2 linked regions of the Lytechinus pictus genome follow. The protein of the gene in region 2 purifies or fractionates together with the protein of the main gene of each other region. This does not show direct contact. Links are inferred from orthologs where the notes say so. Each region holds a gene or a part of one and is shown on either strand. Other genes may lie near its edges.

What was found.
Region 1: the proteins of nephrocystin-1-like (region 2) and nephrocystin-4-like purify together in Homo sapiens (co-immunoprecipitation; 6 studies listed by BioGRID and IntAct, with this or other methods). This does not show direct contact. The link is inferred for Lytechinus pictus from reciprocal best matches to the Homo sapiens genes NPHP1 and NPHP4.

What each region holds. Positions count from the first base shown.
Region 1 is NC_087258.1:14,951,740-14,968,696, reverse strand, and holds the start of nephrocystin-4-like, read left to right. Parts: upstream 1-9,940; 5' UTR 9,941-10,182; coding exon 10,183-10,677; intron 10,678-12,969; coding exon 12,970-13,116; intron 13,117-15,190; coding exon 15,191-15,326; intron 15,327-16,637; coding exon 16,638-16,745; intron 16,746-16,957. UniProt on the Homo sapiens protein: Involved in the organization of apical junctions; the function is proposed to implicate a NPHP1-4-8 module. Does not seem to be strictly required for ciliogenesis. Required for building functional cilia.
Region 2 is NC_087251.1:6,641,409-6,657,882, forward strand, and holds the start of nephrocystin-1-like, read left to right. Parts: upstream 1-9,542; 5' UTR 9,543-9,603; intron 9,604-13,428; 5' UTR 13,429-13,440; coding exon 13,441-13,517; intron 13,518-13,861; coding exon 13,862-13,922; intron 13,923-14,506; coding exon 14,507-14,581; intron 14,582-14,962; coding exon 14,963-15,024; intron 15,025-16,116; coding exon 16,117-16,474. UniProt on the Homo sapiens protein: Together with BCAR1 it may play a role in the control of epithelial cell polarity. Involved in the organization of apical junctions in kidney cells together with NPHP4 and RPGRIP1L/NPHP8. Does not seem to be strictly required for ciliogenesis.

The sequences.
Region 1 (16,957 bases), on a different chromosome or scaffold from region 2:
GTATCGCGATCTCAAAATTCTATTCCGATCGGCGAATGCGCGCTGTGCTGGAAAAGCGTTCAGAAAAAGTGTGACCTAACTTCGCGGACCAAAGTTTTTGTGGACATTTAAACAAAAGCTCAAGCTCAAAAAGTGAAATATTTATATCAGATTGATGGCAAAATGCTATAGAATCGGTTAGTACCACATTTAACTCACATTTTTGATGATTTCTGCTTGCAAAATGGTGATATCGTGATGCTTGTTGAGAATATCAGATTTCTTCAAAACGGGCGCTAACGGTGACAAATTTGCCGATCTTTTGCCAATATTTTCATGAATACTGAACTCATCCTAAAGAAACTTACACCAAAGGGTAATTTTAGGTCGCTTTTCACGTTGATGATGTCAGATTTTAAGGATATTGGCTAGTTTTTTAGATAATGACCGTCCGCGAAGTATGGGCACGCGCGAAGTTTGGACTCACTGCCATACAAATATTTTTCAAATCTAACTAAGGCACTGTTGCTGAAAAGTTTAATTAGATCTACACTACAGTATTTCCATCCAATGATAATTTTATTGATTGGCTGATGAGGTTGAGCCATGGGACATATATACAGGTGAGGTGAATGGGTACCTGGCAGGAATTTATTCCTTGAAATGCCGAGCGCCGGAGCAGTGCGTAAAAGCTGCTTGAGCTACAGCCAGGGTAATAATATCCAAGTCCTTTGGAAGCGCATAGAGACGTTATTCATTATGTGTTATGCGCTATACAAAAACTTGACTATTATGAAGTATACATGCACCATACATGTATGTAGCTTAATATCATAGGCAAAAAAAGAAAAGAAAAGAAAATATTATACAGTTATTGCCTACCTAGAGTTTGAATATAACATTTCCTCTCCCCGACAGAGTTATATTTTTCCCAAGGGATTATACTTTGCCCGAAGCGCGCAGCGCTGAGGGAAAATATTATCCCGAGGGGAAAATATAGCGTCGGAGGGGAGTTGAAATGTTATTTATTAAAACGATAGACCAGGCAATATCTGTTATATTATATAGTATATGTGGATTCGCCATCAGAAATTGCAGGCATCATCTGGCTCAAACCCGAAATTCTTGCTACAGCTCTGATCCATCTACGTCATAATAGATTAAAAAAAAAAAAATACATCAAACGCGTTCTTCATGCAATCGACGCGTTAGCATTAGCGCGTACATCAAATAAACTACCTTGTTACGCAACTTGTATGCAGCGAGTGACGTCACCTTAGTGAATATAACGCCGCAATTGAAAATACAACGCAGTATATTCCCTGAGGTGACGTCAAAACCTAGAATATAACAAATGCGATCCTCGCAGCTATGGTCACGTGATGGTGTATTGACCTATCACTGATTCGAATCTACATAACGGTTAACCTATGTAATATACACTATTGTTATAGTATTTCTTTTTATTTTATCTACATGTATTTATTCATTTTTTTTTTTTTTTGGGGGGGAGGGGCCTACTTTTCACAACCTAAGGCCTGAATCTGAAACATACATGTAATATGTACATGTATGGATTTTCCAGGGCTTTTTCATTATCCAGGGCTCTTTTTGAGCATTTTGGGGATGAAATCTCACTGAACTCTGTGTCATACAGATCAACATTTTTGTATGATGATCAATACAATCATACAAAAAATCTTTCATACAGAAAGTATGAATAGTATGAAAGATGAAATGGCCCCCTGGAGGCCGCTTCATGAAAGTTGTCAGCACTGACAAGTTGTCTTTCTCCAACAGTTACCATAGTAATAGTCAGAGGCCAGTGCCTCTCAGCCAATCAAAACCAAGGATTTCACTAAAATTGTCAGCACTGACAATTTAGTCAGTGCTGACAACTTTCATGAAACACCCACCAGGTGTATGCACTCATTTCAGTGGGATTCATGTTATACTTTGCCGCCATCTCTTGACCAGACTATGCCAGTTTCTTGATGTGTACTTGCAAGAGTAGAAGAATCTCAACATGAAGATTTCTAATCACTCTTAACTAGGTCATAAGGAAACAAAAATGTTTTGTTAAATTGTTACATTCATGAATGCAATTTTTCAAAAATTTAGGCCAGTTGTTCAGATACATGTTGGTAAACTAAACAGTAAAATTACACACACACAAACAATTATATGAAATATTTGAAGCTGCAAAGACTGTGGCTTCTGTGGCTACATGTATATTTTTTTTACTTTGACTACTCCAGCTTTAAAATGTAACACTAGGTGGTTTCAGACCTCCTCGAAGTTCGTCAGTTCCAGGTATTTTCTGATCGGGAAATTTACCCCGATCAGAAAATATTAGGTAATATTGGCAATGTGAAAACAAATTACGCGTAATCTCCCCGAAAGAAAATACCCACTAAATAGTAGGTACATAGTCAAAATTATGAGAATTTTCGCGAGGATTTTTCCAAGGTCGTAGGTATTTTGGCAATGTGAAAGCAATTTACAGAACTTATAGCCCAGCGTGTAGTTGGGCGCGGGCGCCTTGGGTGGCTGCTGAGCTAGTGATTTTGAATCTCGCGCCTCGATTGCTTATCAGACCATACTGCTCGTAACTTCAGGAACTTATCTCAAAGGGTATGTTTCGGGCGGTGTGAATGCAGGAATAATTAATGGGTATTTTTTTAGCCTAAAAAAGTTCTTGTAATTTAACAGGGATTCTTGTGATCGAGGCGATTTGAAACCACCTACTTTGGTGTTCTATTTTTGTGGGTATGAAAAAAGAAGAAGGGTTGGTCAGTTAATTACAGTTTTCTTTGGCCTAACCAATAGAGACCTGTGGGCTGTGGTGGTATTCTGGAACACCATCATAAATTGTCATAAATTTTGTCATTTCTCTCCAGAATGTGACACTGCTATGATTGTCACAAATCTGTATTATGAACATTGTCTTTACCCTGTCATATCTGTCTAAGTTCCCTTCTATCTCTTCGAAGGCAAGCCAATCAAAATGACCGTTAGTTCTGAGTCGGAGCCCTTCTTACCAAAAGGAAGGCCCGGCGGCACTTGGGGCGTATTCTCAATACAGTAGCTGGCATCGCACGACTGCTTTTATATTGATGCGCTTGATTAGAAAGGGAGATTATCAGATAGGGAGCTGATAAGGATCTTTTGCTTGTATGTATATTGGGATTAAGCACATTTAAACTAAAACCGCATATTTACATGTATGTGCGCGCTTGAGAAGAGACAAAATTTATGACAATGTTATGACAAAATTTATGACGCCCACCAGAATACCAATTTCATCTCTGAGAAAAGAAAAAATATAGAGAAAAGACAATGTTCAGAATACTGCCCTGGTCACAATTATTATATTTCATGTCCCACTTTTACACCTTGTATTAATTGACACGCTATTTCAACACAATTCCCATAATTTATGAACAAAAATAGTATTGGATTCTGATGTATTCTCAGTTTGATTCAGTAACTAAAAAAGTTGTGTATTTTATAAAACAAACAATGGTGCCATACCTGTAAAGGTAGTATCCAACACTTTTTATCCTAATCCTACCTTTTTTATTTTGCATTGTATTGTTTATTGATTTAAAAATTCACCTGTGACTCCATTATCTTTATGATTATGATGAACATAATAAACATTGTATATAGAATAAAATAAAAGGCACACACAAGTAAAAAAAAAAGCCTACATGTAGATTTAAATATTTGTTAAAATTAAGCGTCCAACCACCTACTCTTAATGTTTTTTGTACCAAATGAGAAAAGTAAAATGAATTTTGTCTGACCTCATCTATTTTCTGTCTTTAATTTTTCAAGTTGCAATTGCTGAACTTACACTTCATGTAGAAACCACTAAATTTTACTCATAAAAATTGTGACATTTCTTTCAGTAATCAGGGGATGCACTAGATTGAACATGAAAAAAATTATACAATATAACAAAACAAAAAAAAATAGAAAAACAAAATATACTGCATGAGAGTAGTTCTCCCAGTTTCTTATAAAACAACAATATGATAATTTTAATAGCTTCTTGTTGGTGAGGCATGGCTCTCTCCTTGGAATACATACATGTAGCTTTATATATCAATATCATTCTTAATTCATCCACTCTACCAGCCCTCTGGCGCCCTATCAATCGAAGCAAGAGCTTTGGCCTGAGTGAAAGCAATCAAACCACAGACCATCTATGTCGCCGTCGCTCTGTTGATTATGACAAAAGCAATTGTGCGCTTCTTTGCCTCCCTCAGAATGCGGACAAGACCGATGTCAAGTTGCATCTCTCTAGCCTTCATTGTTCAAGGATGTTTTCTTGCATTCAATGTGTTCTTTATTCACCTCTGTGCCCATGCATGTGACATAATTTGCATAGATGCGGTCTCAGTTTGCTATGACAATGCAACTGCAAGTGTTCTATCCTCTCTACATACATGTACATGTAGCGCTATATTTTCTGTACTTGGGAGAGATTTTGTTGACATTTTTGGCAGAGTTTATTTCATGACACTTAATTTGAACAAATCTTCTGGTGGAAATAACTTGGATTGATTACTTTTGCTTGTTCTTGTGTCAATTTCAATCTCTGTGTGGATCCTTTAAAGTTTGTATTCCTTCAATGTTAAGGATAGGATTTGTGATCGAAAATCTCTTTGTTTTGTATTCACTTTGATGCTCATCTTGTGGTTTGTTGGAGATGTCTCGGTTAGATTGCATATTATTGGGTTTCATTTCACCTCATCTGTTTATGAAATTGTGTATAAGACTCAATATGAGTCCATGGATTTGAAGTATGTTGCATTAGTTTTTCTTTTCTCTACATCTAAACTACAGTTTTTACAATCGGTCATTGCAGTGGGTTTTTTTTACAGGCTTTCATTAGAAAATTAAAATCTCAACGATATGCAGTCCTGCTGTACTGAATACACGAACAGACTGACTGAGGGCTGAAATATTTCAGTAATATGAACAATCTTGAAATTGTCATCTTTATATTATTGTGGTATAATGCTTCATTTTTTTCTTACTTTCTTTACAATATTTTCTAGCTACAGGTGTTTTTTATGGATTACCATGATTGATACATGTATTCTTTGTTTACAGAACTTCCAAGATGCTTCTGAGGACCGTTTCATAAAGCTGCTCCTAATTAAAGTTAAGAGTGACTTTAAGAACGACTGGTGATCCTTTCTTGTAGTAAATCAGGTATTCACCATTAAATGTTCATTGGTGATTATTCAGAACGTGAAAAAGGTTCACCAGTCGTTCTTTAAGTTGCGTTTTGAAACGCCCACAGTCAACATTCATTTCCATTTTCACTGATCCCGTGTACTGAAGTTGACTTTAAAAGTTTGAGGGCAGAAGAATTTCTTTCAATATTGCTTTTTTATTTGGGAAATCCGTCCGTGGCCCAGGCAGAGAAGGCTCAGATACATGAAGAATGAAACGGTTTTGGGGAAATTCTCTGCTACTGTACAGTATTGCTCATTGTCAATAGTCTCATAGACCCCATTCTCACTATACTGTCCTAAAACTACATGTAGTTAAGTGGAAACTAATAATGTGTAATGAGAACCGTCGAAGCCGTCTTGGAAGCGATCTTCCAAACTGGTTCAGAAAACCACCTTGCGATGTAGTTTTGAAGATTGCTTTGCCTCGTTGAACTGATTTTAGCTTACATAGTGAGGACACAACCGTTATTCGGGAAGCGACCTTCGCATATATCGAGCGCGCTACTCCACACACTATATGTGGAATTCCTACGCTGCGGTTTCAAATTTCGCATGAAACATGTCACCCCACTGAGAGTGTTCCCATAGCCACAAGACCGCTTTAATACGTGAATTGGTTTTGAAAACCACTTTCGGGTGATCAAATGGGAACGCTAGCAAGGCGATCTTCCAAAAGTGGTTTCCTGAACCGATTTCCAGTAAACTAGTCTTAGAAAGTATAATGAGAACGGTGTCATACACACATGACTTAAAGTCCCTATTAAATTTTTTTTTTTTAATGGCAGTGCTCTCTGCTCTTTGCACCTTCCAAACACTTTGATTCAAAATGTAATTGAGGGTTATAAATTTGGATAATGATTTTCCACCATTAAAGATGTCATTTCCTTCCTTTGCAGTCAGCTTTGTGTGTTACTTTTAGGCATGTTTGCTGTCGCCATGCAATCCAGCTAGAGCTTAGTACTGCCTGTTTGAACTTGAAAATATTTTGTTTGATTTGCTTGATATTCAAGCATCCCTGTGTACACAGGAAACCTCGGATCTCAGGGAAGAAATATTCAGCTTGTCACTAATTATTACATGTACATGTACATGTAGATTCCAGTTTGAAACTGTGAATGTCTGATGCAAGGAGTTTTGGAGTTGGCATCAGCATCACTTGGTCTATTTTTCTAATGTTTGATTGGTATCGGATTTATCAAAATACTGCAATTGGTTTTCACTTTCAATTTACTATGATTTTGAGGATCTAAGTGCTTCACTAGATCTGTTGCAGAATAATCACAAACTTTCTCTTTTTTCCTTGTCCCATTTTGATCTCTTTTCATTATTTTGATCTTTGCATTATAAGCATCAATTTGATTGGTAAGAATGGCATTGAATTTGCTATATGTACTTGGATTCTTTTTACTATTCACATTTGTTGATTTCTACTCATCAAATTCAATTTTTGTACTGTATGTGCTGCAGCAATGGATAAGGTTCAGAGAGGTTTTTCAATTGTGCATTGGATAATTTTATTCCTTTTAGATGACCAAGGATTGTTATTAACCTGGATTTTTTCGACCTGGTGTGCTTTTTTGAAATGAGGAAATATCTGCCATGGGTGACCCCAGTTGGTGTCAAATTTGCCAGAAGAAAGGGTGACTGATGGAGTATCAAAAGTTTTTTGGAGATTGTATGGGTTCATTTTGAATCATTAATTGATGATGTTTTCTGTTTGAAATGAAACAGCTCATTATAAAAACCCTAGAGACCTCTACAATATCCTAAGCGATGTGATATGCAGCTCTATTGTTATTGCCAAATAATGTAGAGACAGTATACCCAGTTGTTGTGTGTCCGGACAGGTTGTGTGTCCGGACAATCAATTTTAGAAAGTCATTTGGAAAAATTTACAAGGGAAGTTTTATCAATTTTTAGTACAAAATGTCAGGAAATATTATAGAGAACAAAATAGAAGATGATTACAATTATTGATTTCGTATTTTTAGTGTAATCCAAAGACAAAAAAGAAGGCTTCAAAAATATAAAGTGTCCGGACACCCGACCCCCCATCCTATGCTTTAAATCTTGCTTGCAGACTTTGAAGAAATCTTAATCTGTTTGGTTGACATCTTGGAATTTCTCCTCTTTTTTTTGACATAGTGAGTGGCAAATTGAGACTTCTCTTTTTTCAATTTTGTTTTTATTTTGTTGATGATATGTTTGTCTGTGCATCTTTTCAAAATGGGTTCCAACAAGATTTCTGACAAAACCAGAAAAGTATGAAATCTTTGATTTGAAAAATCTCTGTTACACTTGTCACTATAATTATCAAATTGAATTTACATTGAACTTTCCAAGTCAAAGTTTTTGGCATACTTTAATCAGTGGTTTTGGATAGTTTTACATAAGAAGTAGGCCTAATATTTATATCAGTCCCAATTTCCAATTGGAAATTTTAATTGTTGCCAATTAAGATACTTTAAAACACAAGTAATTATTTTACATGCATGATATGACATCTGTGACAGTAAAGAATGTTTTTCTTGTATTCTAGTTCCGAAAAAATGTAAATGATGCAAAAGGATTTCGCTTACAGTGTATAAAAGACTACCACAGTTATATATATGTAATACATATCATATAAAGTGCCACCTACCTTTCTGTATAACATCCATTTGAAAATTTTTAAGAAAAATAGAGAAATAATTTGGAGGCAAATGAATCTTTTGCATCAACATTCCTCTACACTGTTGCTGTACTAGGATAATCAACTCACTTCGTCATGTGGAAGGCCATAAGAGAATGTTTGGTAAAATTTCTGGTGCTTTAATTGTATGACATCCTTGATATGATGAAGCATTTCCTTTTCTACCAGTGGCACAACTCTTATTGATTTTGGTTGTGCGTGGCATGGCCAAGTTCTCAATAACTTCATTTGTAAACAAGTCCTGCCATTGCATTTTGGTTACCATGACAACCAGGGAAACAGCAAGAAGATGCGTGTTCCGAGCATTTTTCCCCAATGAGGCGTGTAATGCAGGGAATCTGTTTTTCCTTTGGAGAGCGGGGGCGCATCGTGGTCTGGTATTGATCGGCGGTACAAGATAACCCTGAGGGAGTAATCAAACTGCTATCACTTGAGCTAGAGAGTCCGAATGACTTTCGTAAAGCTTGTTTTATTGTCATCTTTCTGAAAAGAGAGTGGAATTTTCCCTCGTTTTTCTCAAATGATTTTCTCTTTCTCATCTTTTGCTTTGAAGATTGGGATATTCGCTCCTGGATTTTGTTGTAAGGAAAATACACTTTGTACAAGTTTTGTATTAACTTCAATCTAAATAAATCATCAAGGATCTGTTAAAGGTGATCTACACTTACCCTTTTCCTGCTTCTTGTGTTTCTTCAACTGTCAACTCTGGAGAGGAGGCTGTCGGAACTGGATGGAGGCCAGAGACTTTCATAGACTGAAAATAAATTGTTGCTTACTTTTATAGTCTAAAGAAAGGCAGTAGTAGACAAGAGATATCTTCTATGATCTACATGTACATCAGTCTGGTCTACATGTACACAGTTTAAATGTAGGAAATGCAGTGAGGTTGTTTGGTACTACATGTAAGTCTGATCTACATACCTTTGAACATGTGGGATAACGAACAGTCTGGATTTTCATTTGTCTGCAATGCACATTACATGTACTTGATGTACATGATGATAGATTAGCTTTAGAAACACACATCAGATTCCAAGACTACAGGAATATTGATTAGAGTGCATATCAGGATTTTTCATTAGTTCGCTTCTGAAGTCCTCAGTTCATGAAATTCCTTCAGGCATAGTAGAGAAGCCTTTTTGTTGCGTTGATATGGTCGGAGAAGGAGCCAAGAGTTTTATTACATTTATGTTTTTCAATATTACAGTGTCGGTAGTACTCATTGGGTGCTTTTACACTTGCCCAATCACCAAAAATACATGTACAGGCACCTTTTATTTGGCCAGTATGAACGCAAAGTAATATTTCCAGTATAAAATACGCACAAATTGATTGCTGCTTTTCAAAATTATTAGAAATTTTGTCAAGATTTGTTTAAGGACATGGCAAACTTGGAAGTATTTGAGGTGTGAAAGAAAATTAATTAATAGAACTTGTGATAGAAAGTAGGAAGAATGCGTAACACTCTAAAGTGAGTCTTGTTGTAGGCAAATACATCTAAGTAGAACTTTATGTGGTTCAGAGAGAGTGTGAATGCACTTATATATTGAGGTCCGACCAAGTTCCATAGATATTTTTGTTATTTGGCAAGTGTGAAATGTCAGTGTATGCCTGTCGACAACATTTGCATTTTTTTTTTTACACGTGTTCGTTAATGGTTTTCCCAGACTTCTTGTGCATGCACTGAACAGCTGGTTTAGTATGCATTTAGAGATATTTATAGATGTCAATAAACTTTATGGGTACAGTATCTTGCCTAAAATGCCACCTTGCCATTAGTTTTATTGCTTGAAGTGAAGAGTACTGCATTGTACATGTAGATGTAGGCCACGTCTCAAGAAACTAAAAGGATCTGCCTCTTGCAGTCAGTCTTGTGTTCAGTTTCTGGCTTTAAGAGAAATAATTTGTGCTAACAGATCTAATTTTAAGATGTTCTTGATGTAATTTCGAGAATGTTTTGTCTTTGCATTGAATATAGAGCTGGAAAGTACATTAATTGGTATCTGAACTTTTGGTTCTTGCCAAAGTTCTGTTTCTCCTCTTTTGCAAGTTTGTTTTGATAGTTTGCACTTCGTAGGATGAGGGATATATCATATCTATGTTGTGCGATTATAGACCTCTTGTGAGGTTGTGAACTCCATTGAAATGAGACCTTGCTACCATTGTCTTTAGGAGTGGGTCATCTGTTCATATCTACTGAAGATCAGGCCAAAGTGCTCAGTCTCTTTGAGTAATGTCTTTACCCCCGCTATGTGAACAATGAAAGATCATGAAAGTGAAGAAGAATCTTTACACGAGACTGGAATCCATCCAGGTCAGACCACAAAGCACAAGGAATCTTCAACATGGACACCCAGTACTCTGATTCCCTCACAACCTCCGCAGTTACTGCTCACACCAGAATCCACCCTTGCCTTGTGGCAAACTACCCCAAATGTCTGGATCGACAAGAGCAAGACGATTACCCAATCGAGCCACCGTTATCCGCAGCGTGCAACAAGTTTCAGTCAATTTTCAAGCCTTCCGCGTCACTTCCGTCTGTCCGAAGCAGCGCCCCACACCCAGTACCAGCAGACTTGGGATGAGATAGAAAGTATTAAGCAGGAGCTGTGTGTAAAGCGGGTGATTCCTGCGGATTATCGTAGAACAGCTGTTCGTTACCATGGTGATGAGACGGTGGACCGTAAGAACTGGGTCCCATTTATCATCTTGGTTCATTCAGTGGATAATGTAGCCCACGATGTCGAAGCTCAGGTACAAAGTTTTTTTAAACTGGAACAGACCTCCAGGGAGGTCAGTCACAGTGCTGTTCCTGCTAGAATCCCATGTGCTTTATCGTTAGTCTTCATACATAATTCCTTTTCTTTTATCACCTTAAGAAATTCCTTTTCTTTTATCATTTTAAGAAATAGTGAAATTTCGAAGAAAAATCAATTGATCTGTGTTGAAAAACATGAATGTTTCAAAATACGTTTACATGGAATTATGTTCACTGTAGAAATATTTTAGAATGATGATAAAGAGAATCAAAAGTCCTAATACATGATGTACAGGGGCCGATTGCACAAAAGGGTCTTTCCAAGGACCGTCTTTCGTGTCGCCCATCTTTTATGATGCGCTGTAAGCGGGGTGTTTCTGAAATTTATGATAAACAAATAAAATTTGTAAGCTTGCTTTTAAATCAAATTTTATACAATTTCATGAGATATCACATCATTTTGTAAACAAAAATATTCTGTTTATTTTAACGGACAAATAAAATATATTTGCAGATAATTTATTTGAAATGCGTTTCACATGGCGTATCATAAAAGATGGGCGACACGAAAGACGGTCCTTGGAAAGACCCTTTCGTGCAATCGGCCCCAGGTACTTGTAAATTCTACAGATCATAATACATTAAAGACTCTACATGTTAAATCCTGGTGGGAGGTTCATAAAGCTGTTTGTAACTTACGAGCTACACTGTACTTTACGATCGGCTGGTGACCCTTCCTTAAAGGTCAAGTCCACCCCACAAAAATGTTAATTTGAATAAATAGACAAAAATCAAACCAGCAAAATGCTGAAAATTTCATCAAAATCGGATGTAAAATAAGAAAGTTATGACATTTTAAAGTTTTGCTTATTTTTCACAAAACAGTGATATGCACAACTCAAATGAGACAGTCGATGATGTCCCTCACTCACTATTTCTTTTGTTTTTTATTGTTTGAATTATACAATATTTCATTTTTTATAGATTTGACAATAAGGACCAATTTGACTGAATCATATAGTATAAAACAATGCTCATTCCACATGTTCAGGGAGGAAGTAATCGTTGTTTCACTTGACAAGGAGGAGAAAAATAGGATATTCCCTATTTTATACAATAAAATACAAAAGAAATAGTGAGTGGATGACGTCATCAGTCTCCTCATTTGCATACCCAACAGGATGTGCATATAACTGTTTTGTGAAATTGAGCAAAACTTTAAAATGTCTTAACTTTCTTATTTTACATCCAATTATGATGAAATTTTCAGTGTTATGTTTGTTGGATTTTTCTCTTTTTATTTAAATCAACTTTTTGTTGGGGTGGACTTGTCCTTTAAACACCTTATCAACACCTTTGGAAATCTGGTAGCACAAGAATGAATCCCCAGTTGTTTGTAAAATCGATCGTAGCTTAAAAACAGATTTTTATGAAACATCCACCAGGATTTTTTGAGTTTGTAAAGACTTGAGCTATACTCACACATGTAGCACTTAACTTAGTAAGTACTGTATATATTTTACTTTAACAAAGCTCATTTATGGACAAATAATAAGATATTTATTATCAGATTGTTCCAATTCCATTATGAAAGTTGATCTTGACCGCAGTGCATGCCAGGAGATGGGCAGTAATTGCTAGATTCAAGGCTGTTTCATGCAGCTCTGGTTTTGTCACAAAATTGTAGGTTAATTGGATATAGATCGAGAATCAGATACAAATAGAGGGTACTCCACAAGCACTATAAAAAGAAAAATGACAGATAAATTAGAAAATGAAACAAGTGGGATGATTTTAAGCTACAATGTACAGTGTGATGAGAATATTTTCTTTTGAATATGATGTACATGTTCAGCACGTACTGTTTAATGAACCTTGTAGTACTTTAAACAACCATGCATAATTCATTGAAGATTAAATATAAAAATGAAACTGTGTACAATGTAGTTTAAAATTTAATACTACATTACACTACAAATCGGATGCATCCGAGAATAAATCAATGAATGGTACGCCAGGCTGCTTAATGTGACATGAGAGTTGGAATTTTTTTTTACATTTTTAAACACTTGTTTTAATTTTTGAATTCTTAAACACTTGTTTTCATTTTTGAATTTTTAAACTCTTGTTTACTGTAAGGTTCAAAGAGTAAATATGTAATTGTATAAAACTGCGTATACTTAAATTAATTCTGGATTGAAAACTTGTACAGGTACATATTTATTGTTTTAATGAATTCATCAAAATAATCATCATTTCTTTTCTCTGGTTTGTTTACTTTTTAACAGGAAAAAGCCAAGAAGCAGACCCAATACCAGCTACGGTTCAGTCTTTTTGACGTCACTTTCAAACGGTTCTTTGGTCGAACCCTAGTTGGACCAAAGAAGGTTTGCAAACAAAGCGCAAGCCATGCTCCAAGACTGCAGTACAATTTAGTGAGTATCTAAACATTATTTGAAAAAAGTAAACCCTTCCCATGTGCTCAAAGATCGTCATCTTTTTAGCCCCAGACCTCCTCATTTAATTTTTAAAGAACAATTTCGATTCTCAGGGATGACAATATCCAGACCAAACTAAAATAACACTGTATTTTTCTTTTTAGTTTACTTCTCGAGAATGAGATGAATGCAATATTCCAAGATATAACCTTTGTTCGCAGCTTATGTACAATCACTTTGTGTCAAAGGTCTTTCAAAATAGAAGACGAAAACCTTACCAGAGAGAATGCTACATGTATATCATCAAAGGTAAAACTCAATGTCACACAAAGAATCAACCTATCAAAAAATTACTAGTGGCCACTACCGGTAATCATTTGTAATTGATTGTGAGATGATATTCCAATGCAATTCAATCTGTGAAGCCTTTTCAAAAAGTTTTATACAGGCTTTAGATTACATGGAGTTAAATCATGTGATTAAATAGAGTGTTATTTACTCAATCTCTTTCCTCATCTAAAATGTATGTAATGGACTTGTATTTAAATGCAATCAACTAATGAAAAAAGGTTACCGGTAATTTAATGCAATAATGGAGATTAACATGCTCTTCGACATGCATGTGGTCATTTTCATCAAGCTAAATGAATTCAACCAAAGTCAAGTTGATGGCCGTTTCCATGACAACATACAACAAAGCAAGTCCAAAGATCCCATTGATAAATGTGTCAACAAATGAGGGGAAACAGCACGTTTGCATTATATTTTGATGATGTACAGTGTATATTTGTGCTACAGCACGGATGAAGGTGTACATGTGTAAAGGCATTTTTATTGATCTAGTAATGAATATGGGTGTGCATTTATGCAGCTTAATGGAGAAATAAAACAAATTTCTTGAGTGCAGCAAACTTTGCACAGTATATGTATATTTTTTTTATCTTAGAGGTTGTACATGCACACACACACACACATAATTTGATTGTTTAAAAGAGTGCTTTATTCTGGAATCCTGTAAAAAATAAGTTGTATTTATTATTGCATAGTACATGTAGTAGCAGCAGCAGCAGCAAAATGGAGCAGCAGTAGTATATTTAGGAGTGCAGATGGGGGGGGGGGGGCACTAGCCAGTCAACAGTGTAAAGAAAATGTTATTTATGAACCAGAATCAGAATAAATTTGTATTGTTTGTATTATTAACCCTGCACATTATGATATCATTCCCCCGGGGTATTATTTTTATGGGGGTGTGCCTCACTAAACTCTGAAATGGGGTCTATTAAAGGAACTGACTATAAGGGTAAAGTACGGGTCTTGGGAACTAGATATACATGTATACCGCGGTGTGTGAAAAACAGGGTCTACGGAATGGAATTGCGGCACTGTAGGTGCGGTGCACCATAGCGCTGTGAATGCGCTAGCCATGCATGGACCGGCTACTTGTTAGGCCTTTTTGTAGGGAGTTGCGAAGCAATATGTGCATCTCTTGCAGGTGGTGCTCGCGCTTGACAACTTTGGCAGGGCTGGGGAACTGAGATGTATCATAACGCGTCTTGCGAGCAGGGCTGTGCGGCTTCTGAACTGAACTTTTGTCATTCGGAGTATCTAGAGAACTGAAAATCAGGTCTGAAAACAGGGGGTCATCAGAGCGGCACATATCCCTACCACCAATATATGTGAGTCCCCCCCCCCTGGATCATGCCCTTCTGAATCTTATTTTTGGGTGGTAATTTGATTCTGTAGTACACGTACATAGATAGAATAATCTATTTTAAGAATGCTGACAATTTTGGGAGTTTGCAGCATTTAAAATCATGAGTGCAATTCTCAGTAGTGTGAGTGTTATGTAGTATAATTTATCATGGTTCTGAACTTGCTCTTAACCATTTTTGGACTTTTTCCCAGGGAGTTGAGAAAATGCATGCATTTTTTTTTTTTTTTTGCGGGCATGCAAGGATCCGATGACTGGGATACGTCTTTCAAATGTACATGATGTACATATTAAAGCGCTCTGTAAAGTATATAAAATGGAATACATGTATCATTGACTTTTGTTCTATTTTTTTTCCAGCCTGTTTACTTTCACACGTCATTAGCTGACCCTAACATTGTTTTGATTGTTGAGATCATTGCACTCATCAACGATGCTAAGACAGGCCCTCGTCAGATGTCATGTGGCTGGTGTGTGCTCAGGCTGTTCCAACAAGGTATCTGTTGTAATCATGGTGATACATTATTGCACCTATTTTGGTTCTGTGTCATTTACTCTCGGACAATTGCTCCACTCTAAATTCCACTCACTAATCAAATGGCCAACTTCAACCCTTGGTTTAACACTTTACCCGACCTAAATTATCTAACATCAAACCCTATTGCACTCCTTACCCTACATCTTAAACGGAATTAAGCCCGGAGCGATTTTCACAAGAGCAAATGCTGTGTCACCCTTATTTTAGTACAGCATGTTTCTGTTTTTGTTCCAAATGTTTGAATTGTCATCTCAATGAAAAATTGTTCTTGAATGCCATGGGCTTTAATAATTGCAACATTTTAACTTGTGGGCCATTGATGATATCTCATGCGTTCAATAAATTGTACTCGGGCCTGAATATCTGAATGCCTTACTACTTATGAGTCTTACCTGAAGACCTTTCTGTTCCCCACTCTAACATCATTGCAAGAATGACATAATATTGTAGCACTAGCTAGTGCAGTAGGATTTAAACTGAATGATGATTCTAAGCACTGTTTGAAGACATTGAAATTTGTGAAACATTTCCTGTTTTTGAGCAAGAGTCAACAGAGGCGTATAACGATGCTATGCAAGAACTTCATCATTGGGTGGAAACGGATGCAAGTGCTGCATTGGGATTTGAACCCAAGCCCTTATGGTTCAAATTACAATATCCAGAGAGTTACCCACTGATCCACATCTCATGCTCTTCTTTCCATCATTGTAATGCACAACACCAGTGCAACAAACAAGCCTACATGTATTTGATGTCATATTGATGATATTTCTTTCAGCATACAGTTGTATTGATTATTGGATGTAATTTCCAATTGCTTGGAGCCAAAATGCATCTGTCTGCATTTTAAAATCATTTCCACATACACTTCCTCACCTGATACTGTTGTTAAAACATTTAACTTGTACATGTAGGTCTAATGATTAAAAAAATAAAATTGATATTTACAGGCTTTTTTTTCTTTTTTTTTAAAATTCATGATAGTAATACAGTCAGTTTGCACTTGTTACTTTGCACAATGAAATTTTGTTTCTTTTACACATTTTCTGTGCTTCTATGTAGAAATTAGCTTTTTCATTTTAACATGGTTTGTAATAATAAGTCATATATTAATATTTCATTCAATGTACGTGTATTTTGATTGACCTACTGTATGAACTTTGAATAGCATGTCACAATAGATACATGGTGCCTTAAATCAAAATAGGACATATCTTTTTTTATTGTTGACCCATACAATTTATTCAAACATTTGATCTCTTTTAATAGGTGATATGCCAGACACGTCTCAAGCAACACCGGCCCCTGTGAGGAGGGTGGATGTCTACCATGGTTCCCCTAGAGCTCTTCTATACCTAGAAGATGATGATATTGAAGGTAAGAACCGAATATATGTCGCAATCAAATGATAGAAGATAAAACCTTTTAATATTTATCTGTAATCTTGTAGAATGTTCGAAGTTTGTGGTTATTTCCTGTATTTTGAGGATGCAGAGAAGAGAATCATCAAATGTTCAAAGGATAAAATTATATTAAGTAGATTCTCCATCAGAAGTCTTTCGTAAAATACTCATCAATAATGATTACTC
Region 2 (16,474 bases):
GATCAAACACCATTGAACGAACCAAGAGTAGTGACGGTCACCGGAGGTGGAAAAATCGGTGAGTTTTTAGTCATTTTTCATATTATTTTCAGCAATTAGATCATATTTTTTATATAAATTTATGTCAAGTATCACACTTGATCTAGTTCGATAAGGTCATGATGTTTGGGTGAGGGAAGAGGAGGAAAATAGTCTATGCTTTTTTTGGCCATGCTAGTGTATACACACGAGAACGAGGTTATATTATAACCTCGTTCGTAGGATGAGTGCAATACGGTAGGCCTACTGTCTGTAGTGTAGACTGTAGTGTAAGTTGTAACAAAATTACAAAGTTAGGCCTATTCTTTTTTAAATCGAATTGACACTTTTTTTTTAATTACAGTCTAGACTAAGGATTTAGAAACTACCTAACTATCTTGATTAACTACAAATAACGACATATGCAAAAATAGATCAAAAGGTATGAAAATGGTAATTTACCAATGTTTGCTTTTCTTGGTCTCGAGAATCATCCCCAAAATGGCAGCCAAAATATGAGATATTTACCAACGAACTGAGAGGGCGTCAACAATTTAAGAATGTGATATCGATATTGCTTTCGATATTATACGATCTGCTCCATATGCGAGCTAAACCGCTACAATCACAGGTAGCAGACATTCGAATATATCAAGACATTAAAAAGTAAATAAAATTAAGGATAATGACGTCATTCAAGATGGCGACTTGCAAGAAAAATCATCAGCTTAGGTGAAAATGTCTTACTCTTAGATGAAAGATTTCTCAATCATCCAGAGGAATTTTTTTTCAATAACTCCGGTCCAAGGTACGCAATTACTTAAGTTATTTATCTTTCCCTGATAATGGAAACCATGAAACTGTAAATTTCGCTTAACAGTTTTAAATCGCGACCTATAAAAAGTTAGTTCACTTATACGTTGGCTGTACGTATGGGCCTCCAAGCTCTTCAGTCTATGTATTGGTGAGTGGAGCCAACGTAGTTCAGCGGAACAACCAAAATACAGAGATTGAAGCTTTTGGTCTAGGGCCGGAGTAGCCTGGAGGCTCTGGAGAGTAAAAGTATCTACTGTACGTAGGCTTACTCTCCATGAAGCCTGGGACGGGATACCATGGGCCTGTTGCATGACGAGATGAGCGATACGTAGGAACGTCCTAGGACCATTCTTCCAAAATAGGAAGATTGGCGACAAATCAGCGCTTTCCGTTTCACGAAGGCAATTTTGTCTTTCAAATCCGCGACATCGTTTGATATCGATAGCATCGGAAAAATATTTAGTCTTTACCATCACCTGAACCTTTTATTTCAGAATGACGGCTTTTCATAAAATCATATATTTCAATAAATGGAGATCAAATATGTTTTTATTTATTACTGATTGTAGAATTGATGTATCGAGCTTACTTTATGAGGTAAAACGAGAAAAAAACTTTAAAGATTCATAAACATAACTGGATAAAATTGAACTTTTCATTTTTTCCCTTATCTAGAACATGGTGCCCTTTTAGAGATACCTTTCATTGATATTTCAATGAAAGAGACCCTTGTCCGACATAAAAATTGAAGTAACTAAGTAATTTCGACAATGTATTAGTTCAATATTCTGAATTTGTATAGAATACTTATTTAAAGTGATAATTTTGCAAATTATATGCTTTAAATGTTATTTGTTGAGGTAAAAATAGGGTTTGAATGGAGTAAACAAAATCAACGTGTCTGATTGTATTAGACTAAAAAGGAAAATATGAGAGGCTGCATGTGAAAAGTTAAGGAGTTGAGATGTACATTATTGCTTTAACATGACCATGATGACATATATAGGGCCTACGATTTAAAATGCGCCTTTTCTTTAATATGGACTTTACATAACCTTTTTTTTTATAGGTACAATGAACTTATCTTCATTTTTAATGATTGTGATGGATTCGTAAGCTAACCTAAGCTATAAGCCTAATCTTTATTTTAAATTCAATGAGCTATTTTTTTTTGTTTCATTCATTATCTCAAGTTAGCATAAATCAAACAATTTTCATTGAGTAAAATCTCAGCAAAAAAAATAAATGATTGAGCATGATTAGTAACATCTTACTTTTTTTGCTGAACGTTATAAAAATGTTTTCTTTACCATATACATAATTTCTTAATTTTTTTTTTCATGTTTATGATAAGGCATGAGGGGTCAGAGAGATTGCCGCCCATTTCGATATTTCAAGTTTGGTTGGAAAAAACTGGAAAATGGTTGGGGAAAAGAGGGAGAAAATGTGAGAAAATAAAAGAAAATATATCAAAATAATTATTTGGGCCTATACCCCGGAGAAGTTAAAATGACAACCGTTTTGGGTCATCTTGCTGTGCAAGACGATACCACACGCGTGTATAGCTGCCAACTTAGATTTAAAAAATACTTGCACCAGCCGATAAATATCATGAATCGTAAAATACTTGCTTCTGTCGATAAATATCATAAAGAAAAGTTCTGTCTCGTTCGTTCTCCTTCTGTCAAATTGAAAACAAAATGGCCGATCGATACCAAAACGTATGCGACATAGACGTCTAACTTTTCCATTTTTTGAGGGTCCAGTTTGTGCCTCGATGTCAGGATTAGTGTGTCACGATAGACCTTCATCCATATAATCGAGGTAAGTGCATAATTTATTTTTTCCCCTTTTATTTGGAGTGCTATTGCGACCACATTTTACCCCATTTTGGAGAATATATGTTTGACTAGTATTACAGGGATGAGTCCTGGGCTCCGGCCCGGAGCTCCCTGGGTTAGGCAAGGGGATAAGTCCATGCGCGACCATGGGGTCTCGAAAAGCACCCTAATTAAAAATATTTTCCATATTCTGAAAATGCACCCCTTAATAAGTAGTGCTGCCACCAAACGGATATCCGAACAGTTTCCGCCCGCGTGGACGGATAACGGTTTTCATTTTTCGGGTTCGGGTATCCGTGGACACTGATTCACCACTTTCCTGTCACAACAACTCATTAAATTTAGTAAGACTCACCAACAAAATTTATAAGTTTTAGTCGCCAATATAATCACCAATATCAATTAATCTTCTTCGGTAATATATTCCCGCCGAAAACCATTGTTTTTATATCAGTTTTGAAACATGACCTTATATCAGTTTTGGAGCATGACCGTCCGTGAATGGAGTAAAGTTCCGTTCTGACAACGATGGCGATTTTACTATGGTGTCGCTTAAGATCGTTTTTCTTTCCCGTCTTATGTTTTGATGATTTCAAATGCGTAACTCATCGTATATTTTCTTACCTTGACTTTCAATGCGAGTGAAGAAGATAATTTGAAACCATTAAAATTGCTCAAAAACTTGATTCCATGTACAAGGTCAATGCAAATTGTGTTTTTCAACCAAAAATCATAAATGTATGATTATTTTTACTTTTGTTGGTTCAAATGGATTTATTTTATGCTATTTATGATCGCAAAAGAGTCCCAGACAAAGTTCATCGGAAAAAACAATAAAAAACAAAGGTTCAGAAAAACAAAGAAATACAGATTAAAAAAACAAAAAATACAAAAGAAATTAAATTTTTTGTGGATATTTGTTATAAAGGTAAAAATTGATACTCTCACCAAAAATTAGCATTCTACTAGATTGATAAATAGAGTTAAAGGCAGAAACATTAAAAAAAACAAATTTAGGGCAAATTTCATATGCTTATTTGTATAATTAATTAATGAAAAAATATAAACAATTATTTTTGTAATGTAAATTTAATGCAGAAGTACATGAAATTGCTGATAGTACACTTAATTGCATGTAAAATCAAACACACATTAATAAGCGGAATTCTACTACACAGTTGGCTTGCGTGAGTGGCTGTATAATAGAAAACATTAAGTTCAACAAATCCACTTTTAATATTTTGAACTTGACAAAAATAAAGTAAATATGCTAAAACCATGTAATATTACGGTTGTAAGTAGTTTAAGTATAATTCTTAATTTACCATGCAGTGTTCCAACTTGCCCCATACCATGTTCCAACTGAACGCTTGCGATGGTCTTGTTCAAGGTGGATTTTTCAGAAACCATCATAGAGTTAAAAAATTTATGGGGTACATCTGAAGCCCTTAGATATATGCTTCAAGCTGATATAAGAAAATCCACCTCAATGTATATCATGTAATTGTACACTTACAGTTAAACACATCCTCATTGAATGTGCTGATTTTGCACATATTCGTACTAACTTTTATGATGTTCCTGACCTTAAGGACGTTCCATAGTTATGTTTGTGCGCATTATGATCTGCGCATATCTAACACTCTGCGCGCTGACGTCACAATGGATGAACAGGTGATTAATTAGCTGTGGGTATGAGCTGATTTTTCTTATCATCTGCACCCTAATTGCAGATCCGATGCGTTATTTTATGAAGCTAAATAACTGGAATTATTCCATGGATTATTTAAAAATATCTCTACAATTTCAAAATACTTTACTCTGCAGTACTGCCAAGAATCACGAATATGACCCCGAGTTTGAATAAATAGTAGAGTGGTTTTGATTTTTCTTCACATAGATACAAAGCATTTGGCGTATTTTTGGTGTTTTAAAAAGCACATTTGCACTAATAAAAATGCTGATAGTTTGAAAACAAGCACATGAACCCCTATTTTTTAATGTTTGTACCTCTTAGGTATACCTTCCTCTACAACTTTGCAAATTTTGGTGAAAATGACATGGATTTTGAATAAAGTGCAGCATTTATTGTACTTTTGTAGTCTGTTATTGAAATTTTACATTTTTGAGATTTGGTTTTTGTTATCTTTTAGGCCAATTTTAAGAACTGACTGTGCTGTTAGACTTAAAGTTGCAAACAAATAGCACCATAAATAGATTCTCCAATCTAACGATACAATTATTAACTCTCTTGCGAAATTTGATGAATTTTTCATGTATTTTGACTGAGTAATAGAGGTTTAAACTCATTGTAGTATTCTTGAGAGGTCTAAAAATGCCAAATTCTTTTGAATGCGCAGTACTTAACCCTTTGCGTGCGGGCCCGCGAAACCGGATACCTCTCCCTGCGGCGGAGCTGTTTTTGTACATTGCTGGTATATGGATCTGTGGCGGTGTTTTCCTAATCTATTGCTAATTGCGACAAACTGAAGTATTTTCAGGATTTTTAGTAAATGTAAAGATGAAAGGTCAGACATTTTTCTTTCTAGAATTAAAGGTCTCGCTTCTCAAATCAACAGAATAGTTAAGAAATTTATGAGGAAAAAGTCGTGTTTTTTTGTCAAATCTTCGCTTTTTCCCAAGTCAATAGGCAGTGTGTACAAAAATGCGTAAGGGCAATCAGCACGCGCGGACGAGTCGGGTTCGATCGATACCGCTTTGTTGTCTGCTCTGGTGCTTTTTTCATTGTCTATTGTCACGCTACTCATGAATGGTCTCTTTACCCCCTTGTATACAGATCATTTGCAAAGTGTATAATTACGACGATAATCCGTTTGGGGTAAAATCACAGCATACCAAATACCTCATTTTCCAGAATGAATAAAAAAGGGTGAATATTCCCTTGCAAGTACGATGATGATGCTGCGCAACGAAAGTCCGAAACTATTTTGTGATTTTTGGCTTCTGGGCTACAAGACGGTGGCCTCAATGTTTCACTAAAAATCGCCTTTGGCTTCTTCTTTTCATGAATTATAGTTTGTAATAAAAAAATAATTTTGTTCCTGAAGATTGCATACCTGTCTTCGATTTGTTTTCCTGTTGCAATTTCAAAGAGCGAAGGGGGTAAATATGACTCAAATAGTGGATCTGAAATCATACCTCCAAACGCTCTCCTTGTCTCGTTCTACGTTTCATTTTTCTATCTCCCTTTTCCCTCCAAAATAACCATGCTACCGATTACTCTTTGTCACAATGAGAAAAAGTAAATTATTTTTATCTACTGAAATGGTAGCATCTAAATTTAATTCAGATGCTTTTAATTTAAAAGTGTTTTATTTTGTTCTTTCATTTTATTCGTTTTTAACCGTTCTGGATTTTTTCACAACCGAAAACAAAAGTAATAAATAAAGAAAGATTTGTATCCCGTTTTGTCTCTATCTTTTTAATCGTTCAATTAAATACAGATGCGTTGGAGTCGGTAGGAGGCGTCAGTCCACCCCCCCCTCCCCATTCAGCAAACGTATACAAAAACGCGAAGTCCATAAATTTATGATTTTTAGGGGCCGATCACTCCCTCGCACATTCAGCTCAACCCCTCCATTATAAAAAACGCTTAGCGGTCCCTTTTATTTATCCATTTTTTTTTAAATATTTGAGTTTTGAAGCTCACCAGGGTAAGCGCCCCAATAGTATGTTTGCCGTAAAAAATATAAGGTCAACCTGTCTTTTTTTTTTCTTTAAATGGATCCTTTTCTGCTACGCTATTCGGCAGAAAAACAAAAGACAAAAAAAAAAAAAAAGAAACTGGCGAAAAAATTAATAACATTTTTAGGGGGGGGGGTAGGTGCAAGATTGAGAGGGGTTTGTCGGGACACGTCAAACAAACATGGTTTTTTTCAGGTGGATGCCTCAACGTAAATTATCATTCTATTTCATCAATTTCCGGCGAGGAAACTTTTAGTTCATTGTTAGTTTTAGCGTTTGAACTGATTATGCTTTGTCGAATTTTCAGTGCAAAAATTTTCACATGGGAGAGAAGGAGAGAATGAGATGAAGAGCTTCCAAAACCTAACATGACAAATTCATTCTATAAAATGGCGTGAATTACAAATTGAGGTGGGGGACTAGTATTCTATAATTCTTTTTAAGTAAATATTTATGCAATAGCAAAAGCGCACATTATGGTTTACATTATACCTTTTTGGTCTATTTCCTCTTTTTTCCCTTCCATCCTTTCTGTCGTTTTATTATTCTCCTATAGATGTATCTCGATTTGCATTTTCTATTCTTTTTTTAATCTCACTTGCATCTTCTTCCATCCCTATGTGTATCATCACCCAGGGGAAATTGTGTTTTTTTTGTGAAGAAAGCACTGTCATGCTCAAGAAGAAAATGTTCTTGCCATGTTTTAAGCGCCTGCATGTGTTGTCAATATAAATTGAGTAATCATTTACTTTTTTAATGTTGCTGTCCTAATATGAAAAGCAGTATTCCTAAGAACTTTTTGTATTGCTAAATATTATCCTGACGAAATACACTAATCTTCCTTTATCCAGGGTGTTGGCTATTTGTCCCCTGCTCTTTTTATAAGGAATTTGTTTGAGTGTCCGCCATGAATTTCTTTTGTTTGGGGACTGCCGAGACCAAGAACTGCATGGACGTTTTCATTTTCAAAAGAGCGGAGGATAGACGGTGTTCTAAATTCCTTTATTTTCTGTTTGTTTCCTTTGAAATAGAAGACAAAAATAAGAGCAATATCGGATGAGAGAACGAGGGAAAGCGGGAGGGGGTGGGGGTTCAAAAAATTACCAGGGGCCCGTTTTATATAAAATTTGTTTACTAATTTTCAATAACACTTAAAAGCTACTGAAATCCTCCTATTTGACTGGCGGATGGTAAATGTGTTTAATTTTTGCGCATTTGTCAATATAAAATGTACATTTATAATGTATTTATAAAACGGTACCAATAAGGGATTTCTTCGTTTTCCCTTTCTCTGGTTTCTAACCTATAAACTGAATGTATTATCTACCGCTTTCATTCCCTTATATCTATCGTCTTTCTATGCCCCTCCCTTCTACACCTTTTTTCTCTGAGTTCTTCTCATTTAAATTATATCTGTACATATCGTCTTCCGTCTTCCCGATTTGGATTACGAGGTATATACCCGCCCCCATCCCCCCAATCCTTTCTCTCTGATTTTTCCTTCTCAGTACCTGTCATTTTACATTACATCTAACGTCTCCCTCCCCTCTCTCTCCCTCTCTCTTCATCGGAAACGCTTCCGAGAGAATGCCTCGTTTTTACCAACTTGTATCGGAGATGGGCCTCTCGTCCTATTGCATCGTGGTCATTATGTCGAAATTTTTGGGGGGTTTTCCCCCAGTTTCTCAAATAATGTCCCGAAAACCTTTTAAAATTACTATTGTTACTGTCATTTCATAATAAATTCTGTATCATCTTCCATTTTCTATATTGATAACGTGGGTAGATATCTTCGCAAAATACAATACGATGATGATCATCATCGTATGAAAATGCACAACTAAACTATTTTTTGTGAACTTGGGGCTTAGGGTTATGGCAAGACAGAGACCTCAATCTTTCACTAAAAGTAATTTTCTTTTTTTATATTTTTTTCATAAATCAAATGTCTCATTTAATTCGATTTTCCACGCAGCTATTATAGTAATAAAATAATTTTGTTCCTGAGCTTTGCGCACCGGTATTCGATTTGTAATATCCTGAAATTATTTCAAAGAGTTAAATCGAATAAAAGTGACTAAAATTATGAGTAAAAAATCATACCTCCCAACTCTCTTCTTGTCACTTTCTACGTTTCTTTCTTTATCTTACTATTCCCTCAAAAAGAGCCATGCTAGCAATTACTGAAATTAAGAGAAAGTATTTTTTTCTTGAATAAATTATAGCCTACGCAATAAAAGTTTTTTTTTTATTTGTTCTTTCGTTTTGTTCTATTTTCAATTTGTCTCATTGGTTTCACAACCGAAAACAAAGTAATAAATAAAAAAAAAACATTCCTAATAGTTAGAATTCATTTTTGTCTCTATCTAATAGTACAGAGGCTGCGGAGTTGGTAGGAAGTTTCAGTCCTCACCCCTTTCAGCAAACATGTACAAAAAAAATCCGAAGTCTCTATAAATTTGTGATTTTTTGGCAAGTCCACTCCCTCCCACATTCAGCTCAACCCATCCATTATCAAAGCGCTCAGCGGCCCCTGTTTTTTATTTTAAAAATCAGATATTTTGGTTTATATGCTAACCAGGGTAAGCGCCCCAAATGTTTGCAGTAAAGGAAACAATTTTTTTCTATATGAAATCTTTTCTACCACGCAATTCGCCGGTAAAAAAAAGAAATTCGCGAAAAAGTAGGAAAATCAATAAAATTTGGGTCGGTATCAACCTTTTTTTTTGGGGGGGGGGTGTAGGTCACACATGAATAAAAGTTTGTAGGATTGAGCGGGTTCTGTCTGGTGACACGCCAGACAAACGCGTTTTCTTTATAGTGGGTGCCTTAACGTAATTTCTCATCATATATCATTCTATTTCCTCCATTTCAGGCGAGGGAACTTAGTTCATTGTTGGTTTTATAATTTGAAGTGATAATGTTTCCGTCAACTTTTCAATGCAAAAAAAATCATCTGGGAGAAAAAAGGAGAATAAGATAAAGAGCTTTTAGAACCTAACCTATTATAAATTCATTCTGTATATTGACATGAATTAAATAATATATTTTTATTAGCCGTCTCTGTCTCTCATTCTCTCTCGTTCACCGTGACATATAAACATTTTTTTTCTATAATTTCCCTAAATGATTCTTCTTTCATCCTCATATGCATCATCACCCAGGGGAAGCGCTTTTATGCAAAATGGATCACTGACCGATGTCATAAGCACCTGTTTTGTTGGTAATTGAGACAATTTTGTTTTCTTTTTTTTAGATAAAGTATGTTGGTCGGAAAAGTATTTATAAAAACTTGTTGTATTGCTAAGTACGAAGGGCATTCAATAGGTAATCTTGCCGATAAACGCTAATCTTCCTTTTGTTCGGGGCGTTGACCATCTGTATCCTGCTCTTTTCGGAAGGAATTTGTTTGAGTTGCCGCCCAGACATTCTTTTGTTTCGGTAGTGCCGATATCATGAACTACATGGACGTTTCCCTTTTGAAAAGAGCATAAGATAAATGGTGTGCTAAACTGCTTTCTTTTCTCTTCTTTTTTTAGAAAAGTAGAGAAAAATAATGAGGGATGATGGGGAGGGAAAAAGTTCAAAAGTGCACCGCGATCAGCTCAAAGTACTAAAAAGACATTACAAGCTTTTTGTTTTTCTGAAAATACAATCGATCGATGAAACCAAGGAGATATCATTCTATCTAGAGTGATATCGTCTTGATGAAACAAATAAGACGAAAATCGTGAATAAACGCGTAGGTTATTACGTGACGATCTTCCAGAAATGATTTTAGCTTATCTTTCAAAACAACGATATGGATCAAATCACGTGATCAAAACAAATCACGTGATCAGGCCTAGTGTGCGCGCGCGTACGTGCACGTCACAAAATTTATCCTCCCCGTCTGACTCCAAAGAAAAATTCGGGTAAAGTTGAAACGATTTCCTATTTTAGGGATTTTTCTCCACGTAGCTGTGTATTTTTTTCATTTGATTGTCGAAATAGGTTTATAAAGGAAATAGTGGGAAAGGTTTTAGTACATAACAATTACGAAAAAGCTGAAAAACTTCATCGAATTAAACCAAACAAATATCGGCTTCTGTAGAAGCCCGTCGTAGCTAAGTGAACGACTCGCTGGGCTTCTGTGGAAGCCCGTCGCACGCAAAGGGTTAAGAACATCAATTTGGGTGAACTTTGAAGCTCTACAGCAAAAAATCAAGCACGTGGACCTATGTTAATTTTTGCGTATTTCGAATATTAAGGTTCTAAGGTATTTATGTGCAAAGTTTGGTGAAAATGACATGGATTTCACTTTAACTGTGGAACGTCCTTAAGACATTATTTAGAGATATTTCACGATTATGTATTGTAAATTTCCTAAAGGAGATCAATCTTTTTATTAGATTTTAGGTGGGAAACTGTTCGAATCCCAATCACAACAGGTATACCCTTGGGCGAGGTATTTTATTCCAATTGTCTAGTCTTTCGGAGGAGACTCTAAGCCGTCGGTCCCGTGTAAAGGAGAGTCACACCATTTGCACGTTAAAAAACCTACTCCTCTTTTCGTAAAGAGTAGGGAAGTTATCCCGGGGAAGTAGTTAACGTATTAATTTATTACTGATAATTACTAATTTATAATCCTGTTCCTTTGTAAAGTTGCATTAGGGTAATTTGTACTGTATTATAGTAACCTTTCCAGATTAACTGTCTGACACTTATATGATATGCATGTGTTGATAGTGTCGTTAATTTTTTATCAATCAATCAATCAATCAAGCTGATATATTGATGTTTCTCAAATAAAATCTATTTGGATTTTACAGCCATTTTTGTCAAAAATGTTCCAACTAACCCCGGTCTCCCCTAACTTGGGAGTAATTTTTGTAATCACCAGAGCGCTCAAAAACTTGAATTTTGGGCATATTTTTGTGTATCGTGTACGCCCTCTATTAGTGGATAGTAATATGGCAAGACAATTGTCATTTTTCAATCTATATTTTTAATTAAGAAAAAATAATTTAAAGAATCAAATTTACTTGTGAGCCAAGTTATATGATGAATAGCTGTAATGGAAACTGACAGTGGGGCAGTTCCACGGTTACGGAGTGACGCAAAAATGGACATGTATATTTGAGGAGAAAACATATTGCTCAAACTTCTAGAATTTTCAATTGCTGTCATAATTTTGATTTATTGATTGGATTCTATGTTCTAGCTTTAATATGCTGTGCACATTACATTAAAAAATTTGTGTATTATTTCATTAATTACGACTTAAAACGTAAACCCATACCCAGTTACGGAGTGACATCAGAAATATCCACTCACGGGCAACGCAAAATGAACTTATAATTTTAAATGTTTGTTTGATACGATGTAAGATGATGACCTTTAGATTATCCAAAAGAAAATTTTACAAAACAAGCATAATTTTTTTTTTAATTGAAATTAAGTAAAAAACAATATATGAAGTCCCATGTATAGAAGTTCTTGTATGGTTTGGATTCTCCTATAAGGAGATGCGTAAGAAAAAAATTGTAGCTATTTATGTTCCCCTTTTGTATATTTATGAAATTCCATATGAGTTTTGATAGAAAGATTTGATCCAGATTTGAAATAGGGCCAATATAAATTTTTGGAAAATGTCCACTTTTGCTTGAAACTGCCCAGTGTAAAAAAATCAAGCATTTGTCCCAAAGAAAAAGAGAAAATATGCCAAACATTGCCAACCTTATTTCACCACACAGGGAGTAGTAACAGAGAACAAGGTTGTATCATAACCTTGTTCATAGAATGAGTGTGGGATGCTATGATTCTATGAATGTAAAAAAAAAATGTTTTTTAAATGCCTAATGTGTTTTCTAGGATGCTTCCCATGGTTGAAATGTGATGAAGTCTATTTTAATTCACTGAATCTATTTTTAGCACTCCCACGCTATATCTTGGTAATTGCCATCTATGTCCCGCAGGGGGAAAAAAAAACTGTCCCTATAAACAAGGACAATCTCAATTTATCAAGACATGATTCGTCTTGGTTTATGAGGATATCCTTTTTTTTCTGGGACAATCCCAATTTTTGGACCTCTGCCTATACTGATAAAGCTGTTGGTAAGTTAAAGGACAAGTCCACCCAAACAAACACTTGACTTGAATAAAAAGAGAAAAATCCAACAAGCATAACGATAAAATTTCATCAAAATCGGATTTAAACTAAGAAAGTTATGACATTTTAAAGTTTCGCTTCATTTCACAAAACAGTTATATGCACATCTTAGTTGGTATGCAAATGAGGGAACTGATGACATCACTCACTCACTATTTCTTTTGTTTTTTATTATATGAAATACAAAATATTATAATTTTCTCCCCATTGTCCTGTGAAACAAAGTTTTATTTCTCCCTGAACATGTGGAATTACCATTGTTTAACATTTTATGGTTCAGTCAAGTTCAGTTCAGTTTGTCCTCATTGTCAAACCTGTAAAACTTGAAATATTGTATAATTCAAACAATAAAAAACAAAAGAAATAGTGAGTGAGCGACATCATCGTCTCTCTCATTTGCATGTAACTGACTCGTTCATATAACTATTTTGTGAAAAATAAGCGAAACTTTAAAATGTCATAACTTTCTTATTTTACATCCGATTTTGATGAAATTTTCAGCATTATGCTTGCCTGATTTTTCTCTATTGATTCAAATCAACATTTTTCTGAGGTGGACTTGACCTTTAAGAGTGACTTTAAGAACGACTGGTGATCCTTTCTTGTGGTGAATGATATTCAACATCAAATGTTCGTTGGTGATTATTTAGCGCATAGGAAAGGTTCACCAGTCAGTCATCTTAAGTCACCCTTAACTTACGAACAACTTTGTGAAACCCCCACTAGGTCCAGGAAGGTCAGCTTTTGCATGCATGTTATTACTCTATATATTTTGTTAAATAGGCTTCATTCCTATTTTAGGATTGCTGGGTATATATTCAATGATATAACCAATTCTTTTTCATGGTTAACATTTTTTTCTATGAATTCCTTTTATGTGTGTTTATATTTGTATAGATTGATGCGTACATGGAAGAATGTGCATTAGTTTTGGATGATTCAACTCTTAAGGACAGAACTTCCAGAATGAAGAAATTATTTGAACGGTAGGTCTACATGTGGATTGTCCAAAATAGTTAGGTCATTGTCAAAATAAATGAATAAAATTCAATAGTGTTTGGCCTAACATACAGTTGTGTGTTATGCCTGTATTTCATCATAGAGCTCTATCACTTGCACGTTTTGATTAAAATCATAGTATCATTCATATTTGTAAAACATTGGGCCCTTTAGTTTTAAAGGGGGGGGGGGGTTAATATGATTTTCTATTGGTCTTCATTGTCAGGCATACAGTCAGTAATTTTTTGTCAAAAAAGTGAGTGTAGCATATTCTGTTCAGGAATGACAATTGATGTTCTATAAATTCTCACCCTTGTTTTTTTTTACGCAGATGTGGAACCTTGAGGAAAAAATGCAAAGCACTTGAAAAAAAGCTTTCAAATTTATCCAAGGTAAGCTTGAAAGGAGATACAAGAATTTGTGTAAGAATGGGGTACCTTACGTAAAGATGGGCACATTCTATCTCATAACATCTATCTGTATACATGTACATACATCATCGAGAATGAAAAAAGAGTTTGTAAAAACTAAAAACCAATAAAATAATGTTTTCAACTCATAAGTTTTACATGTAGTTTGTTTATATTTTTGTACAAAACCCCAAAGCATTAATTTAAAAATCAATCATTCAGGGCTTCATCATAAGACTAGATTATAATCTTTTTGATGCAGAGTGTCCCACTGTGGCCCATGCCCCCCCCCTTTCCCCTAAAAATAGATCTACCTCTACTGACACTATATGACTATTACAAATACTTTAATTAATGAAGATGGTGATAATGAACAGAAAATGTCTGAAATGTAGGGTACATGACATGAAAGACATTATGATTGTTATTTAAAGGTCGCATTATGGTTAGACCTATTATTTTCTTCATTATCATTGTTTATTAATGATTATTTATCTTCATCACTATATTCACCATCATAATCATTATTATTACTATTTATTACTGTGTATTTTTTATTTCTGAAGGGTAAAGAGCCAACAGTTATACCCAATTTTGATGAGGTTAGATGTGATGAGTCGGACCGTATGCATGCACTTGAGGTGAGATATATTTAAATATTTATTCATCATGAAACAATTATCAAGTGACTTCTGCTCAGTGAGCTTGATTCTGAATGAAATCAATGTTATAAATTGATGCACTTGTTTTCTCATGTTCTCTATTAAACTTAAGATATGACTCTCATCTTCCATGAAGCAATACAATACAATTTATATTGTAGTCAAACTTAGATTTTAAAAATATTTTGAACGAATGAATAAATGTGTAGAGCTCTATTTTGTTTAATATTCAATTCTGCTACAGATAACTCTAAAGAAGAGTTACAGTATATCACTTAATTGTTGGCAGATTATTAAGAAGAACTGTAATCTTACCTGATCATCTGTTTGGATGATGTGTATGTTTGTATTTGATATTAGGTGAGGTTGGGGAAAATAGGTAATAAACTGGAGCCTGATGAAGTGGAGCAATCTTATTTCAAGTAAGTGATGTGTTTGTAGTTTTTAAAATGTAATCAATATTTGTTATGAATAATCAACAAACAAGTTCAAATCTAACATATTGAAATGAGGCCATGAAAGTTTTTTTTTTATACATGTATATTAAATGATAGATGTAATGAGAATATCAGATTAGTAATACAAAGCTGACCTAATAAAACTGGTTTAAATCCTTCAAATGTAGGATACATGCATTGGTGAAAAAATGAAAGAAAAAAAACTAGGTAAATTATTTCAGATTTGTAAAATGTGTATGGCATATTGTGAAATGTTATTGATTGTATTAATGTAACATATAATGCAGCTTGTTTCGATATGCTGTATCACTAGAAGCTGAAAAACTTGCAGCAGATTTATTTTGAATACTTTTTCATTTCCAACATGACCAAGGTTTGTCTTACTGCACATGAAAGCAACACAAGAATCATAAAAGTGATTTCTGGTGAATTTTTACTGGAGGTGTAAGGTTATCTTAAGGTTTATTTTTTAAGTTGGTGATAGGATGATTTTGGAAATATTTGTTAAATATACTTGAATATCTTTAAACATTGATAAATAAAGGGGCAAGGACTTTCACATTCTAAAATGAAAGTATAAATCAATCATTTTGATTGATTTAGAAAGGAAGCCTTCCCATAGATTATAAGAACATGTGTTTTATAATTTGAAAATAAATTATTTGAAATCAGTATAAAATAGTGACATTTGTTCATATGGTTTATGGTGGTTATTACTGTTGATGTTAGTTTTTCTTGTGGGCTCAAATAATTTTCCTTTAGACTTTTAGGCTTTTATGTTTTGCTTGCTACATGATGTTTGTTGGAAATTTTTGAGTTTAAGGGTGTACAAGTCAGCCTGTACATACAATGACAAAATATAGGAAGTCCTCTATTCCAGCAGATGTAAAGTAATAAATTTTTGTGACCCGGTATGCGTTACCCTGTTTATGAAAGTTCATTTGCATTTAGCATTTTAGCGTTAACCTTTTAATTCCCTTCTAATTTCTTCTAGTTCTTTTCTCCCATGAATAATACACAACAAATAAACGTCAAAATTGATGTTTTCTGATGTAGCAATATGAAAGGTAAAGACGAAGCTAGTGAAAGACAGGGAAACAAGCCATCAACTGGATGGGCTGACAATGATAGCGATGATGACGATGATGATGATGATGACAATGACGAAGAAGATGAGGAAAATGATGGTGAAGGAGAAGAAGAAAGCAAGATGGAAACTAGCAATCCAGAGGAGGAAAATGATGAAGATGACGAAAAAGAAGATGATGCAAAGAAGACAAAGTTAAAACGATTAAGTGTATTCCGACGTTCCAAGACTGATAAAGGTGATGATGATCCAGAGAAAGACAAAAAAGACAAGAAAGACAAAGACAAAAAAGATAAAGATAAAAAAGACAAGAAAGACAAAGAAAAA